Callithrix jacchus: one gene and its partners. The protein of the gene in region 1 interacts with the protein of each later gene in a pairwise test. Links are inferred from orthologs where the notes say so. Each region holds a gene or a part of one and is shown in the gene's direction. Other genes may lie near its edges.

The links. The genes of interacting proteins can lie anywhere in the genome.
Region 2: the proteins of UBE2E1 (region 1) and RNF25 interact in binary tests that used the Homo sapiens proteins (3 or more experiments, as listed by UniProt). The link is inferred for Callithrix jacchus from reciprocal best matches to the Homo sapiens genes UBE2E1 and RNF25.
Region 3: the proteins of UBE2E1 (region 1) and CNOT4 interact in a two-hybrid assay, tested with the Homo sapiens proteins (2 studies listed by BioGRID). The link is inferred for Callithrix jacchus from reciprocal best matches to the Homo sapiens genes UBE2E1 and CNOT4.
Region 4: the proteins of UBE2E1 (region 1) and ZNRF2 interact in a two-hybrid assay, tested with the Homo sapiens proteins (2 studies listed by BioGRID). The link is inferred for Callithrix jacchus from reciprocal best matches to the Homo sapiens genes UBE2E1 and ZNRF2.

Annotation. Positions count from the first base shown.
Region 1 is NC_133518.1:62,152,691-62,156,809, forward strand, and holds the start of UBE2E1 (ubiquitin-conjugating enzyme E2 E1), read left to right. Parts: upstream 1-1,315; 5' UTR 1,316-1,422; intron 1,423-2,580; 5' UTR 2,581-2,613; coding exon 2,614-2,765; intron 2,766-4,119. UniProt on the Homo sapiens protein: Accepts ubiquitin from the E1 complex and catalyzes its covalent attachment to other proteins. Catalyzes the covalent attachment of ISG15 to other proteins. Mediates the selective degradation of short-lived and abnormal proteins.
Region 2 is NC_133507.1:140,408,432-140,412,614, reverse strand, and holds the start of RNF25 (E3 ubiquitin-protein ligase RNF25), read left to right. Parts: upstream 1-1,377; 5' UTR 1,378-1,393; coding exon 1,394-1,434; intron 1,435-4,183. Other genes in the region: STK36 (serine/threonine-protein kinase 36), read right to left, coding at 441-524. UniProt on the Homo sapiens protein: E3 ubiquitin-protein ligase that plays a key role in the RNF14-RNF25 translation quality control pathway, a pathway that takes place when a ribosome has stalled during translation, and which promotes ubiquitination and degradation of translation factors on stalled ribosomes.
Region 3 is NC_133512.1:111,770,563-111,774,749, forward strand, and holds the start of CNOT4 (CCR4-NOT transcription complex subunit 4), read left to right. Parts: upstream 1-1,381; 5' UTR 1,382-1,595; intron 1,596-2,324; exon of another isoform or gene 2,325-2,410; intron 2,411-4,187. UniProt on the Homo sapiens protein: Has E3 ubiquitin ligase activity, promoting ubiquitination and degradation of target proteins. Involved in activation of the JAK/STAT pathway. Catalyzes ubiquitination of methylated RBM15.
Region 4 is NC_133512.1:27,932,132-27,936,182, reverse strand, and holds the start of ZNRF2 (E3 ubiquitin-protein ligase ZNRF2), read left to right. Parts: upstream 1-1,245; 5' UTR 1,246-1,974; coding exon 1,975-2,443; intron 2,444-4,051. UniProt on the Homo sapiens protein: E3 ubiquitin-protein ligase that plays a role in the establishment and maintenance of neuronal transmission and plasticity. Ubiquitinates the Na(+)/K(+) ATPase alpha-1 subunit/ATP1A1 and thereby influences its endocytosis and/or degradation.

The DNA of each region.
Region 1 (4,119 bases):
GTTAGGAGTTCGGCTGGGTCGTGGGATGCTTGTTTTCCTGGTTACTGGATATGCCATGGGCTTTATATCTTGGGTTGTCCTGTGGTAACTGAAGCCACTGTTGCGGTGGAAAATGATGGCAGTTTGAATGAGATAATTTAGAGTGACCTGTGGAAATCTGAGGCTGTGTCCTTAACGTACAAGACCTTGTATATGTGGCACTGTTGTATGGCACATATCTCTTTAGTTCCCTTCAACTGAAATGACAAATAGGTGAGAAACTAAATCGTAATTTGATGGCCTAATATTAAAAAAAATTAATTGGACAAAAATGCTACATAAGGAACAATTCAGAAGAATTGCTGATTATTTCAAAACTATTATCTGAATAGTATTTATATGTAGCTAAAGAAAGCACTGCGATCCCAGAACTTTCCATCCAATTTCCAAAAACCAAACCTTATATATAATGTAAAATGACACCCAAAATTCTAAATCCAGTCTAATTCAGTAGTATATAGCTTATTCCCAGTGATTTCTCACATTTGCAAGCCCGTTGCACGTTGGTTTCATGTGTCACCAAAACCTTTGTATTACTCTTATAAAACCACATCACTTTGTATAAAAAGTGACTGGAAGAATTTAATATTGTAAAACTGCACGTGCCTCGCGTGACCTGAGCAGAAAACTCCTGGTTTGGGATTTTCTCACAGGCGTGCCTAAACTGACCTCTACTCCTAGCAGGTAAATTGCTAGAAGAAGCAAGTGTCAGCCCAAAGAAAACCCCTGTTGTGTGCTTTTTTTTTTCTCTTTAAACTGATCGCTTTTTAGGTGGAGTTCCCGCTGCATTCTCTAGACCAAAGTCCTTGCTTGCCACCAGATTACCATCTTTTTCACCAATTTGCCACCTCCCTACCCTTCTCCTTTCCAAAAGCCCTCACTGGAAAGAACTTTCTCTCTTGACCCCCCTATTCCATCTAGTTCCAAACGCTCCCAGAGCCTCCCACCTCCGTCGGCTTCCCCTCTCCCGCCTAGAATCCAGGTTCCCAAACCACTTAAGAGGAAATTCACACCCCTCGCCCCCTTCCCGGGCGTCCGGAGGAGACGCAGGGGTGGGGGTGCGGGGGGAGCAGGGTTTTCTGGGGTCTCCTGAGTCTTTCTCGCGCACCCTCAGGAGGTGTTGCAGGGGGAGAGGAGCGCGGGTGGGTGGGACCGGGCCGGGTGGGGGAGGGGTGAGGGCGAGGAGGAGGAGGAGGCGGCGGCGGCGGAGGAGTGGTGTGTGTGCGAGCGTGTGTGGCTGGGGGAAGCCATTGCCTGTTTAATAGTTGCTGTTGCTGCACTTCCGCTTCTCTCCCAGCGAGAGAGAGACACGAGTGGCCAGGCCCAGCCGCAGCCGCAGCAGCAGCCGCCGCGGCGGCACGGAGGAGCCAGACACAAAGAGAGGTACGGGGATCCCCCCAGCGGCCCGCCGCCCCCCGGCCGCGCCGCCGGCCTCGGGGACACCCCTCGCCGCCGTCCCCGACCCGCACCGCCCCGGCCGCCGGGGCGCCGGACACGGGGCCGGGGGAGGGGTGGTGGCGGAGAGGGGCTGGGGAGCCCCAGGGGTCCCGGGCCCGCCCGCGGGGGATGGGCAGGGACCCCGGGCCGCGTGGGTTGCGGGGCCGCCCGCGTCGGGGCTGGGGGTCATTGTGGCTCGAACTGTCAGCGCTGCCCCAGGAGCCCCCCCACTGGCCGCCGAGGGGGCCGGGAGCGGGGGTGGGGGGGAGTTGGGGGAGCCCTGTTTTCCCCAGGGGCGCGGGCTCCTGGGGATTTACCCCTCCGGGGCGGAAGGGCTCATTGTTATTTCTTCGCTGCGGAGGCCGAGCCCCCCCCACCCCACGCCGCAGCCCCTATCCCCCTCCACGAGTGGCGAACGGGCGTGTGCTCCGGACCCCCGCCCGGCTGCGCAGCCCTGAGCCGGGCGGCCCAGAGGCAGGCCGCCCGGGAGGGGCGTCGGGGCGCGGCGCGGGGGGGGGGGGGCTCGGGCCTCGTCGCCCCTGCCCCCCGCCGGCCTCTCCCTTCCCCCACCCGGGCACCCGTTCCCCGCCTCCGTCCCCCTGTTTCGGCTTCCTCTCTTACTCCTTCCCGCCCCTCCTCTCTTCCCGACCTCGCCAAACTCCGTTCGTGGCCCCACAGTCTCACCCGGGCCACCGGTCCCCCACGACCCCCGGAAAGCGTACAAAAACAGCCCCGAGGCCGGCCGGCCGCCGGGACCTTCCCTCCCTGCCCCGCTGCGGCGCCCCGCGCCCCCACCCTGCCCTTCTTCGCCTCCTGGTTACTCCCTCCCTGCCCTGCGGAGAGCCCCGGGGGGTGAGGGAGGGGCTGCTCTCCGAGCTCCAGACCGTTTTCCCACCGCGTTCCCTACTTGGGGCCAAAAATAAACAAACAAGCCGCGTCCGATTTGCAAAAGCCTTAATGGGCCTGCAGACTTTGAAAAGCGAGTGGAGGGCGGTGGGCGGCCGCGTGCGCCCCTGGTCAATGCCCTCCTGACAGCACCCGAGTTCCTTATTTACACTGGCTGCATGGTTTGTGTGTTTCTGTTTTGTTTCCCTCCCCCTGCAGGGGCTGTTTGCGGGGTGGGGTGGGGGGTTCGATATGTCGGATGACGATTCGAGGGCCAGCACCAGCTCCTCCTCATCTTCATCTTCCAACCAGCAAACCGAGAAAGAAACAAACACCCCCAAGAAGAAGGAGAGTAAAGTCAGCATGAGCAAAAACTCCAAACTCCTCTCCACCAGCGCCAAGAGGTACCGTACTCTTTTTTCCACAGGCTTCCTATTTTCCGAACTGCCTCTTGCTGCATTTGGTCTGCCTCCCAACGAGGATAGCTTAAACGCTCCTCACGGTTTGTGTGTTCTTAAAAATGAAAGAAGGGCCTTGGAAACCCTAATTATTTTCTCTATTGCTGCTTCTGTTTTTTAAAATCATTGCCCACATGCAGCTGTTGCGGCTTGGCTCTCGCTTTTCTCGCCGAAGTTTGTAACAATCCTCATCTACTTTTATTAGCGAGCCCCAAATCTGATTTCAGATTCCTTGTCCCACTTAATGGTTAATCTGTGACCTTCCCCAAGGCCATCATCCTGTTTCTTAATTACTAATAACCTGCTCAGACAACTGCATCGAAATGGATTCTATGACCATTTTACCTTCTTTTCACCTGTTGCATGGATGATCTTTTTGGAATAGAGCTTTCTCCACAAATTGTAAAAGGAATAAGAAACTCATATGAGCAGGTACAAAATTTCGTAGGTGAAGACAGATATTCTCTGATGGAATTTAAAGAGATTTTTCTGAGAGTTGAGACGAATGAATCAGTAAGTGATGTAAAATGGTTATTGTAGGTTATTTTTGTGATTCTCTTTGAGAACTTCAGTTTACCAAATTTCAGGGAGACTTTTTTTTCATGCTATTTGCTGTCCTCATGCTGTAAAAATGCTACTTTGCCTTATTTTTTTCCAATTTAAGCTGTGTCTCTTTTTCTTTATTCTTTTCCTCTTACAGCTCTTGGAGGTAGCTACTTTTTACACCTGCCATTCTTCAGTAATATCCTCTGATCCCCATGACACTTAAAATAATCTTTAGTAGATTCCTAGGAACTCCGAGACACCTTTTTAGAAATCCTTCTGCTCTCAGAGTTAGACAGTTAAAAAGGTGGCAAAACGGGAACATAGTAGGGAGTCCGAATGGTGGGTTAGGTAGAGAAACCCTTAAAAATTTTTAATGTAAAGTGGAACATGAGACTTTAGATCTGTCCACTGAGTAGTGAGCCAGGAAGTCAGGGTTTGAGGGTTTGTTCTGTCATTCTGCCTGACTTGTAATTTGAAAATTTGGCAGTGTTTTGGTGACCTAACCATGGGCTGATGGAGTGACTTTTAAAAAATAGTGTGGAGGTCTTAGGTGCCTCTGCAAGATTGTTCTCATTTTTATAGGTTTGGTTTGATCGTAAATCTTCCCAGGAGGCCTAACTGACCCTCACTGATTAGCCCTGTTTGGTTCTCCTGGAACCTGGCATCCACCCTGCCCACTTGGGATGGGCCTTTTCGCAGCACTGCCCTCCACCTCAAGCCTCTAGGCTCCCTGATCCTCATTTAGCTTTTGGCC
Region 2 (4,183 bases), on another chromosome or scaffold:
CAGGGGAAAAGAAAGGAAGAAAAAACGAAGAGGGAATAATAGAGTTCAAGTGGTTTAACTCTTACTAGATGGTACGCTAGAAACTAATAATATTTGTTGTTTACTAAGAGCCCGGCACTGTACTAAGTGATTTAATGTGACAACATATTTAATCCTCAAACTCCATCAATCAGTTGCTGTTCTTATCCCCATTCTAGAGATGAGGAATTTGAGACATAGAGAAGTTAAGTAATTTATCTATAATTCTAAGGCTAGAAAGCAGTGGAGATGGAATTTGCACCCAAGTAATCCAACTTCAGAGTTTATACTCCATAAGAAGTATGAGGGAGTCAGTGCCTTAGAAATACAAACTGGTAGAAATACATCTCTTCTTGACCCATTTTCCACCCGGGTTGGAGGTACCAAATCCCACCCAAAAGGTATCCCTCTTTGTGCAACACCTGAGCACTGTATTTTCTTCGACCCTTGTACACCCTTCCAAAAGAGCCTTCTCCAATCATCTCCAATACGTGGTACTTTTCCATGACAGAGGTTTCAGGATCTCTTAGAAGGAAAAACGTAGAGATGGTGGTAAAGAGCTATAGATCCAGGGACAGTTCCACAACATCTGGGAGGCCTAGTTCGGGCATGAGAAAGAAAAAATGTTAGCCACCTTGCCTTTTCCTCTTTTTCACAATAACGTAAGCCTCAAAAAAACATGGGAGGGTAGAATGGATGGAAAGATGATGAGATCTTGGAACAAACAGTGCGTCTCTTTGTAGTTCCTCCTGACTTTCAGCCTCCTGGCCCCAACCCAGCCCCACACCCACCTGACACCTGGTCTCCCTTCTCCCTCCACCCAGCTCGCCCACTCAACCCTGCTCTCTCAACCTAGCCTTTGCCCACTCAACCCTGTTCCTTCGAGTCTCCCCCAAGTTCCTGCCACTCCCAGCCTCCTCAGCACCCGCTCTCAGACCCCCTGGCCCGTGCGCTTCACAGGCCAGAGTCCCTCTCTCACCCCCAGCCTAGGAGCGTCCAAGCTCCTCAGACCGAGGGACAGATTCCCTGGCCTTTAGCCCCATTTATTCTGACTGCCTGAGTACTTTGCCTGACTTATAATTCTTCTCCACCCCCCCTCTCCCACCGATCTCTTTTGGCTCACTTTCTTAAATTTTACTCGCTAGAACCGATGAGAAGTTCAAAGGACAAAGGCGCTCAGAGGTGTGGGAGGGACAACGGATAGCACAAGGGCACTTCCTGGCATACTTCCGAACTGCCTCAAGGCCATCAGGCCCCGCTATGGACCCGGAATCTACGGTTGCCTAGAAACGACGCTAGCTGCCCACCTCTCTTAGTTTTCCGCCTTCGACTTCCCTAAGGGCATTTCCGGTTCCGGCTGCGGGCCGGAGAAGATATGGCGGCGTCAGCGTCTGCAGCTGCAGGGGAGGAGGACTGGTAACTTTGGGGGCATGGGCTTTGGCTGATGGCCTGGATTTAGTCCAGAGGCCTAGCGGCTGTCGCCGACAGTCTGTACAGCGGGCGTGTCGGGTGAAGCGAGGGATGAGGGATGGCAGAGATGCTGACATCTCCTCTGGGAGAGCTTCTGGACTGGGGAAGGGGAGGGTGGAGGGGCGCTGATCTGAGTGAGTGAAGACCCGGTCTGCGCCCGCCGGGCCAGTTCGGGCTTCTCCTTATCCGGTGCGATCCCCTTTCCTCCAGCCTCACACCATCCCTTTCTCTCCTCTTGAAATGAATTTTCTCAGGGGCTTTGGGGGAAGCCTGCTCGTCAGACCTCACCATCTCCCCTTCACCTTCTCGGAACCACTGCCCTCGAGCTCCGGTCCCCCTTTCCCCTTGGATCAGCCTTTTTCTGCCGACGCTTCCCTCAACCTTCTCTCTCCCAGACAGCACTAGTGAGGACGATTGTCTGAATAAAGCTTTACACCTCACATAAAGTCCCTCTAGTCCTTCTCTCAAGCATTCTTAACAAAAGACTGGAACATGGAAGGACTCTGGGATTTGAAAGTAGGGTAAATGTGGGTTAACTCTGTATTTTATTAGCTGTGTGATGCTAACCAGTCCACCTAGCATCTGTGAGTCAGTGTCCTCAGCTGTAAAAAAGTGGGTGTGGCATCTACCTCAGAATAGTTGAGAAGACCAAGATGGATTTGTAACATACTTGTCTGCTTTTTGTTTTTTGGGTTTGTTTGCTTGCTTTTTTTTTTAAATGTATTTATTTATTTTTGAGACAGGGTCTCACTCTCGCCCATACTAGTGTGCAGTGGTGCAGTTATTGCTCACTGCAGCCTTGACCTCCCCAGGCTCAGGTGATCCTCCTGCCTCAGCCTGCCGAGTAGCGAGACCACAGGTGCACGTCACCGTGGCCGGCTAATTTTTGTATTTTTTGTAGAGACAGAGTTTTGCCATGTTGGCTTGGCTGATCTTGAACCCCTGGGCTCAAGTGATCCTCCCACCTCAGTCTCCCAAGGTGCTGGAATTACAGGCGTGAGCCACCACGCCCAGCCTCCTTTTCATTAATAACTGAGATACAGGCACCTGGGAAGACTAAATGAGCCCCAAAGAAGTAAAGTAAGTTGCCAAAAGGTAGAAAATTATGACTAGAAATCCACATCTGTCTGGCTCCACACCTTAGGTTCTTTGTACTAGGACATTCTTCAGTGCCTGCCCCTCCCCCCACCATATTGCCACCACCTTACCACTATCCATCCCATCCAGGATCCACATAATTAACTAGGGTGGGCAAAGTATTGAAGGTCCACTTGACTGAGGCCACACCTCAGTGTTACATTGGTTCAGGGATCCCAGCTAGTACTGGCCTTTATTAAGACTATCTAGACTAGTGGTTTTTAAAGTGTTCAGGGAAACTTTTTTTTTTTTTAAGAGACAGAGTCTTACTTTGTCACCCAGGCTGGAGTAGTACAGTGGCGAGATCATGGCTAACTAAAGCCTTGACCTCTTGGGCTCCAGTGATTTTTCTGCCTCAGCCTCCCAAGTAGCTGGGACCACCGTGTCTAGCTAATTTATTATTTTTTGTAGAAACAGCATCTTGCTTTGTTGCCTAGGCTGGTCCTAGCCTCCCATCTCAGCCTAGCTCCTGGCCTCCCATCTCAGCCACCCAAAGTGCTGGGATAATTTATAGGCATGACCCGCACACTCACCTGTTTAGGGGGAACTTTTAAGATTCGAGGGAGACACCTTGAGCCATGGAGAGAGCAACAGTGAGTGCAGCAGCTTGTAGTACTGAGACTCCCACTCCCATATCAGTCAAAATAACACTGCTATCTGTGAGGTGTAAAGCTTTATATTTTATATTTTGAAGTTTCTGCCTAAGACTTAACAACACTGACATAGGTCCTGCTGGGGCAGCCTTACTCTTAGAATAAACAGGGAGTCGCGTAGGAAAGCAAAGTATGCATTTTTCCATATATCACCTGGGTAGAGCTGTAGACACAAACTCATCACTCAGCTTTAATTTCATTTCAATTGCTGTTCCTATGCTGAAGCATGTGTGTCCTCTGATTTACATCAGAACGATAGACCTAATCTCAACAGGCTGATCTAGATCAACTAGACAGCCAGGGTCATAAATACATCCAGAATACTCTAACTACCTCCCCCCCTCCCTCTTTCCTTTTAAGGGAGAAGGTTATATACGGACAGGAAAAAAAAGAGGACATAGCCTAGCTATTATAGCGCAGATATTATTAGGTACTTTATATAAACAAGTCACGTTTTATCTTCATAATGGCCCTAGAGAATAGGTGGTATTACCTATATGTGATAGACAGGATAACTTAAGCTTACGGAGAGGTCACTTCACAGATCACATAGCCAATAAGTGATTAGTACCTGTTACTAACTCTGAGGCTGCTGGCTCTTCATTACAACACAGCCTTTACACCACCCTAGACCTGTTGTGTTGAGGTTGGTATCTCCTTTAAGCAGGCTTGTGATGACTGGTGTTAACAGTGGGTATAGACAGTAGCCAAGGCACTGAGATCCACACTGGACAGTGATGTAGGGAAAGACTGGCGTAATATTGGTTAACGTTAATGCTAATAAATGGGTGCCATATTTCTAGACCAGAGAGTCAGCCATAAAGTGGAATGAAACTTAAACAGGGAGTCAGGAAACCTGGCTCTGGCCCCAGTTCCACCTATGTTAAGCCTTGGTTAGTCATTTT
Region 3 (4,187 bases), on another chromosome or scaffold:
AAAAAAAGAGAAAAAATGAGGGCATCTCATTATGAAATTAAGTTTGTAGATTTAAAATTGCAGCTTATTTTCCTACCCCCTTCCTGTTTTAAGTATTTAAAATAGGTTATGACATACATTTTAATAATGTATTTTAAAAAATAATGTCTCCCTTGGCCGGGCGTGGTGGCTAACATCTGTAATCGAAGCACTTTGGAGGCCAAGGCGGGCAGATAACCTGAGGTCGGGAGTTCAAGATCAGCCTGACCAACACGGTGAAACCTCGTCTTTAAACAAACAAAAAATAATAATAACAATGCCTCCCTTCTCCTCTCCCCCATCCCAACACACCCACTAGAATGGGGACAGGGAATTTTGTCAATTTTGCTCACCATTGTGTATAGAAGAGTACCAGGCAGCCGGGAAGAGTTCACTATTTGCCGTTATGAATGGGTGAAGAACACGTGCAATAAGCAAAAATTACTGCTTCGAGCGCCACTTCCACCAGAGTTCTGGGAGGCAAAAGGGAGCTACCAGCACATCGACTGACTTTAGTGACTGAAGATTCCTGGGTGCTTACAGGGACTGCGGCTGCATTCATTGTTCTTGGGGATGTGCCGACGTGTGTAGGGTTTGTGTACTTGCACACAGCTGTGCTGGCAGGACACCGAACTAACATTAATTTGCACTGAGGTCCGAAAGTTCTCAAATTCACACCAACAGAAGCACGTTATTCTAACTACACAGGCCTTCCGTTCTCCTGTGCAATCTGCACAGAACAATTTAGGTTATTTCTTCACTGGAGATTTTACAGTGAGGAGGGATCAAGGGTGGTGGCCCCCAAATGCGCAAAGGACAGGGAAATGAATTAAACAGGCATCTGTTTGTTCCTTGTTCGCAAACAGACATCAAGTCTGTGTAAAATTCTCACTCTAGATCAAATCCCGCGCTCTGTGTACCCCCAACCTGCCTTCACCTCTATTCCGCTCCGTTCACATATTTCTGGTGGGCGGGGCAGAGAAGAAACATTCCGAACTCCCCGAAAAATTGTTTAGCCTCGTCCCAGTTTTGGAGTTGCACATTTCCACAACACCGAGGACACGGAATCATTAGCGAAGGCCGCCGACCAAATGACATTGAAGCAGCATACGCGCGCAGAGAAGGAAAGAAAACACGAAGAAAGGCAGCAGTCCAGCAACCACGTGAGGTGGGCGATCCCCTCCGCCCTCTGAGAGAGGACTTCAACTCCCGGCGTGCTCCTGGGAGGTTACCCTCCGAGGACTCCAACTCCCAGGATGCTGCGGGAGCGGCCGCCGCAACCTCCCACTCAGCCGCCCGCCGCTCCTCCCTCCCCTCCCCCGCCCCTCCTAGCCGATCGGCGTGCGCCTGCGCACGGGAGACCGGAGGAGTCTTACCCTAATGTAAGATGGTGGCCCGTCTGGCTGTGGAACCCACCGAAAGCTGAGAGTCTCTCTCTCAGCCGTAAAGGTCGGACTCGCTGAAGCAATCAGGCCCGGTGCTGAAGAGTTTTTTCCCCGACGCTCGTTCGGTGGTTTCTTGTGAGGACGCGGCAGCGCGTGGAGTCGGCTGAGGGAAAAGCGAGGCAAGGCAGGCGGGTGAGTCTATGCGGGGCTGGGCTTAGGGGAAACCCGGGGCTGACCGGCTACGAGAGAGCGGAGGCTTCTCTGGGACTGTACAGGCCGCACCCCCCTTTCTCCCCACCCCCCGCCTCATCTTCACCCTCCTCCTCCTCAGTCTTTTTCCTCCTCTTCCTCCTTCTCCCCTTTACGCCACAGCAGTCACCATCAGGAAAAGGGAGCGGGTCCGAAGGCAGCGCGGCGGCAAGCCGCGACTCTCCTTCGAGAATTTCTTTAATTGGGGAGCCGAGGCGTCTTTTGGTCTCCAGCTTTCCCCCCTACATTTTTATAGAGGCAGGATTCTTAGGTCTCAGTCCTCCCTGTTTCCCCAACCCCCTTTTCCCTGTCTGACGTCCTTCCCCACTGGCTCCCGTCTCTCTAGACCAAAGCCATCACTTCCACTCTGACCCGTGTTGCTGCTGCTGCTGCTCATTAATCCCGCTGCTCATTGCCCACTCGTCCTGATGCTTGTTTTTTGCTCCACTGCTACCACTCTGGAGTTAGCCTTTGCCCCCCTCTGGTGCTTGCAATCAGCCCACAGTGTATCTGCCACACTAGAGCTTCTTCCGATTCGCAGTCTTTCCTTCTACCACATCTGTCATCTTAAAGCTGCCCCTTAAGTATCTAGATTATGCTTCTGCTCCTGCTAACCCACCTGTTTCTCAGCCTTCTTGAGAATTGTCGGTTCCTTCCTTCTTTCTTGTACAGATCCTTTCAACATACACTTCCAGAAAAAGGGATGCCCCGTGGTGGCCCTTGAAAAGTAAAGGAAGTTGGAAAGTGAATGAAGTGAGGTAGGATACTATTAAACGTTATGAGTAAAGATCTTTTATTCAGGCTACTCAGGAGAGGAACGTTTTCGTTTTGCTTTCAGTGATCTAGTTGTCGCTTATTCGCTCCGTCGTGTTAGGACGTGGCTTCTTTCTTTCTTTCCTTCTTTTCATTTTGGACCGGTTTTACCATGCTACTAAGCGTTCTTTGGATTGCCTCTCCCCAGGACACTTGGTGTGGGCTCTGATTTATACCAATAAATATTAACCCAAGCATTTCAAAATAAGCGAAATCTGGCGCACATACAGAATTCATCTGTGAACTCCGCTAGCAAATATAAGTGGTATTTTGATTGCATGTGGGTTCTGTATTGAGACTTGATTTTTGACTGAGTTTTATTGATGTTCAGCTTAATCGATGACATTTTATTTATGATTGCAGTGGAAATTTCCTCTCTAGTTAATATCAGATTTAGTTATTATTTTTGGATTTGGGAAGTTCTGTTGACATTTGTAGGATGATAGTTATCTGAATAAATTGTCTTCTTTTGAAAATCCATTCGGTATGTATGCAAAAGAAAAATCGATATTTTTATGTAAACCTAAGTTCCTCGTATTTTTTCCAGAAAAGAAGGGCTGGGAAAAGAATGACAAAGCTGTGCACATACATGTGTTTGGTGGAACTCACTGTCATTGTTACCTACAGTAAAAAGCAGAAACTGGAAGCAAGAGGTAGCTTATGATGTCCTTGTTTTAGTGAAAGCAAAATTAAGATGTTTGGACTAATGGTGTAATGGGAAGAAGGAGCCCTTGCTATACTCAGACCACTGTGAGATAAAGAATTATCAGAAAAGCAACCAGGATTACATTGTTCAAATACATATATCTCAAGTTTAAACATGCTATACATGACATTGTGTTCTTAAGGTGTATGTAAAAATGTTTAAAATCAGTGACAGTCTCATGTGGCAGTCCATTATTGGGTTATTGTAATTTTTACGAAATTTTACCTGTAAAATTTGGAATCTTTACATTTGGCATAATGTTCACTTGATTGTGATAAATGATGTGTTTTGCCAAATGTAAACTAAGGTTAGAAAAGCTGTTTATGAAACTTCTTTTTTCTTTCAGCCACTTAACCCCCAATTTGGGGAAACTAAATAAATACTTGCTCTTAGAATTGCAAGCAATTTATATAGCAAACTTTGCCCTAAGTTACAACTTGAGGTTTTTTTGTTTTTTTTTTTTAAATCACTTACATTTAGTTTATCAGTAGGAGTGTATTTAATAGTTGATCTTTAACTATAAAAAATATACTTTTTGTTCTTGTAATACACTGGTGGAGAAGCTTTCCACTTTGAACAATCCGAACACAGGTTTAGAAACTCTTGGCAGTCATACTTGGCTGAATTGTAAGCAGTGGGTTCTAAGGGAGGGCTGTTTGGTAGAAGGGAGTAAGTGATTTTAATACATCTTTTCTCTTAAAACGGTATTTGTCTCACGAAATATTTTCTTAAGTAATTTTCTCCCCTCCATACTTTTTGCCTGCAGTTACTGAATTTTTTGTTTCAGCCCTCTGAAGTCAAAAGGAATTTACTTTTGGATCTTTAGTACGTTTAGAGAAGATATCTAAAATTCTTTAACTTTTTGATAGGAAATAGGGAGCTGAGATTTCTAAATATTTTGCGTGGTTTAAGTTTTTTGATCTTAACGTTATGAACATTGCAGCTACATACTTTCATGGTTTCTTTTGATAACTTGGAATACTTTCTTCCAGGTTCAATAGTTGAATTCTTCAGAT
Region 4 (4,051 bases), on another chromosome or scaffold:
TCTGTAGTTTTACAAAACACCACTTGCTATTATTTTCAGGTGAGGATATGTAGAGAGACTAGACATTTTCAAAATGGGAGCCTCAGAGCAGGCTGTTCCCTGGGTATCCAGACCCCATTCTGCCACGGAGAGACCACACGAACACCGAGGAATGCACTGAGGAAAATTTTATTACACTCCATTTTAGAGAAATTATAGGATCTTAAAGATGCGGGTACCCTAGAATTTAACCAAACAGTTTAGGTAAGAAACCTAAAGTCAGCAGGGTGCGGTAGCTTATGCCTGTAATCCCAACACTTTGGGAGGCGGAGGCGGGTGGATCACTTGAGGACAGGAGTTCGAGACCAGCCTGGCCAACATGGTGAAACCCCGTCACTACTAAAAATACAAAAATTAGCCAGGCGTGGTGGCACGTTCCTATAATCCGAGCTACTCTGGAGGCTGAGGCAGGAGAATCGCTCGAACCCGGGAGGCGGAAGTTGCAGTGGCAGTGAGTCGACACAGCACTACTGCACTCTAGCCTGGGTGACTGAGTGAGACTCCGTCTCAAAACAAAAATAAAAACAAACCTAAAGCCCAAAAAGGTAAAAGGTAAAATAATTTGCTCATTACACATACTTTGGTGTTGCGCCTAAATCCTAGGTTTCATGAGTCAGGTGCAGCGTTCCTGGCACCACGGTTTTTGCCCTACCACGGAGGGTCAAGCTGGATTATCCTGATTTCTTCCAACTCCACGCTTCCTCCCGGGTTGGTGTTCCATGAGTAAGTCTAATTCAGATCAAGCTGGCTTGTGGCTTCTGTGTTTTTTTTAAATCAGTGTGTAACACCAACACCCACCGAAAGCAAATGGCTCTGGGCACAGGATACAGCCATTCACGCCCCCTGCCAGGAAAAGCTGCAGCGGACACTGGCTCCTCCAGCGTCGCCCGGCCACGTGCGGGAGGAGGGGCCGCCTTCTGGTTGGCGCACCGGGTCCGTCCCTCCTAACGGCGTAGGCCCCGCGGTGGAGGCGAGGGCGCGCCCTGGCTGGGAGGGCAGGGCGAGAGACCTGTCCATCAACGAGTCCGCGGGTGGCGGCACCTACAGCACCGCGGTACCTAGGCGAGGCGGAGCCGGGGCGGGCAGGCCGCGGCCGGGGGAGGCGGAGCCAGGCCGGCGGGAGCCAATCGTCCAGGCGGCGCGAGGGGGCGGGGGCGGGGTCACCGAGCGCGACCCAAACACAAGGGCCGGGCGCACCCTGCCGCCGAGCCGTTCCGCGGCCTTCCGGCGCGAAGGCCAGGAACCTCCTCCCCTCTTTGGCACCCCCACCTTCGCAGCTCAGATCCTGTCGCCAGCCCGGCCCCTCCTTCACGGGGGAGCGAGGCGACGGTTGCCGGGAAGCGCGCGCCACCCCTCCCTCCCATTCTTCGTCCTCTCCTCGCGCGCCACCCGTTTTTCCTCTTTCTCCGTTAATAACAGTTGGGTGGCTGGGGGAGGAGGGAAGGTGGCCTCGGCGAAGTCTGGGCGGGCACCTCCCACTCAGCCGCCTGCTGCCGTGTGAGCCGTAGGATGGCGGCGGTACCAGCGGCCGCCCGAGAGGAGGCGGTGCCGAGGCCCGGGGCGCCGAGCGCGGCGGCAGAGAGCGGCAGCGGCCCGTCGTGGCGCACCAGAACCGAAACCAGCGGCAGCCGCACGTCCACCTGAGCCGCCTCTTCCCGCTGGAGCTTGCGAGCGGTGCCCGCAGCCGGATTCCCTTCCTCTTCGCGTCCCCTCGTCTCCTGCGCCCGCGTCAGGCCGCCGGCCTCGCCCACCGCCTGGAGAAGAGCGCCCAGAGCTCCGACTGCCCCTCGGGGCGCCGGGCGGCGGACCTGGACGTACGGGGACCTCTCTGGGCAGGCCGCGGCGCCTCGGCCCTGCCCTCACGCTTCTGCCCTCGCTCCCACCCTCCCGGAGCTCCGGGCGTTGCGCGCGGGCCCGGCCCGGGGCAGGGCGGACATGGGCGCCAAGCAGAGCGGCCCGGCCGCTGCTAACGGCCGCACCCGCGCGTACTCGGGCTCGGATCTGCCTTCCAGCAGCAGTGGAGGGGCCAATGGGACCGCGGGCGGAGGCGGCGGCGGCGCTCGGGCCGCCGCCGCGGGGAGGTTCCCGGCTCAGGTGCCCGGCGCGCACCAGCCCAGCGCCTCGGGCGGCGCCGCAGCGGCCTCGGCGGCCCCGGTAGCCCCGGCCCCGCGCAGCCGCTCCCTTGGCGGAGCCGTGGGGAGCGTGGCGTCGGGGGCTCGCGCGGCGCAGTCCTCCTTCAGCATCCCGAACAGCAGCAGCGGCCCGTACGGCTCGCAGGACTCGGTGCACAGCAGCCCCGAGGACGGCGGCGGCGGCAGGGACCGGCCGGCAGGCGGGAGCCCCGGCGGGCCGCGTCTGGTGATCGGCTCCTTACCAGCTCACCTCTCGCCGCACATGTTTGGAGGTACGGCCCCTTCTCCGCGCGTTTGCGCCCGGCCCTCCCGCGGCTGCACGTGGGCAGCGGCCGCCGGCTATTTTTACCCTTCTCCTTTTCTCCTTCGGCCGGGGCGCCTGGGGGCTGTTGCCCGGCCCGGCTGGCGCGCGTCTCCATCCTGGGAAGAAAGCCGGCAGTTAACACCTGCGGTGCTGGTACTGCGTAGCGTGGTTTTGTTTTTAAACATCGTAAGCACCCTCACCTCTGCGGCTCCCCAATAGAGAAGGTCCATTTTCCAGTGAGGTGACTGGAGCAAATGTTGTTTTACAACCAACCAACGAAACAGCCCTTGAGGTTGTGGCTTTTAGTACCAGGAAGTCAGGAGGAGATACGTTGCTAAATGTAGTTATATCTGGGGACTCCAGTGAGGAACAGCTTTTAAAGGCCAAAAGTCAAAGGTTCTCAAATGAACATTGAGTTACCATCTTTGGGCCGACTTTTAATATAAAGCTGTAATCCTTAAATCTGTGTCAGTCCCACTTTGTCAGTTTAATTGGATGAATGCGTTAATGAAAAGTTTGTTTTTAAACCCCACTTAAAAATTTAGACTTAAAAAATTAGACTTACTGTACTTCCAATTATTTAATTTTTTAATATGTATGACAGCATTATTATGTTTATTCAGTTTCAAATTGTATAAATGTTTGGTTACATACAAATAACAGTTAATGTGAGTCCTGCTTAATTTGGACAGCATTTTAGAAATGGATGAGTTTCTTAAGGAAATAAAAATTTTGCAACTCTGCCTACAAGGTAGGCTTGGTTCTTTTGAAGAGCGGTATTGACTAGAGTTAAGGAAAAGTCAGTTGTGAAAAATGGACATTTTTAATAGCAAAATGATGTGCTCTTCTATAGAAAGAGGAGGAAGGGTGCATTGTCTTGGGGAAAATGAATTCTGCCTCTTCAGTTATGTTTTATGCTGATCTGCTTTATTGAAAACGCTAATAGTAAATGAATCAGGACCACCTCCCTGCTTTATGAAAATAAATAGAAGTATAGATAGATAAGCATTCCCATGTCATTGCATTATGTATATGATATTAGAGAAATTCACAGCTGAGCACAGACGAGCAGCGAAAACACCATCCCTTATATTTTTGTGCCTCTTTTACTCATATTTATAAACGTAGGCACTTTGAGTAGAGACTTAGTAAAGTGGAATACTTAGTAATTTATCTGTTCTGATGTTTGTACTATCAACATTCACTCCAGCATAAGTTAAAAATAGGAGTGTCTTGTTTAGTTTTTCCTATTTAGCAACGCTTTGCACATTCAATATGGAACAACGCTTAACTTATAATTAGCTATCTTGTTTTAAAGTAATTTTTGCTTCTTAATTAAATATATTCATCCTTCCTAAAATTGGGCCATTTTTAAACATCATTTGCTTTTGAGTAAAAGAACTGTCCTTAGAGTGATTTGATCCCAACTGATCTAACAGTTGAAGGTGCTGTAGTCCACATTGAAGAATTTAAAAGGCAGTTTCTGAGAATTGGTGATCAGTGCGAAAATGAAGGACAAACTGGTTTTTAATATTTTTTTAAGTGAAAATTTGCATTTGGCAGTTATCAAAAGATG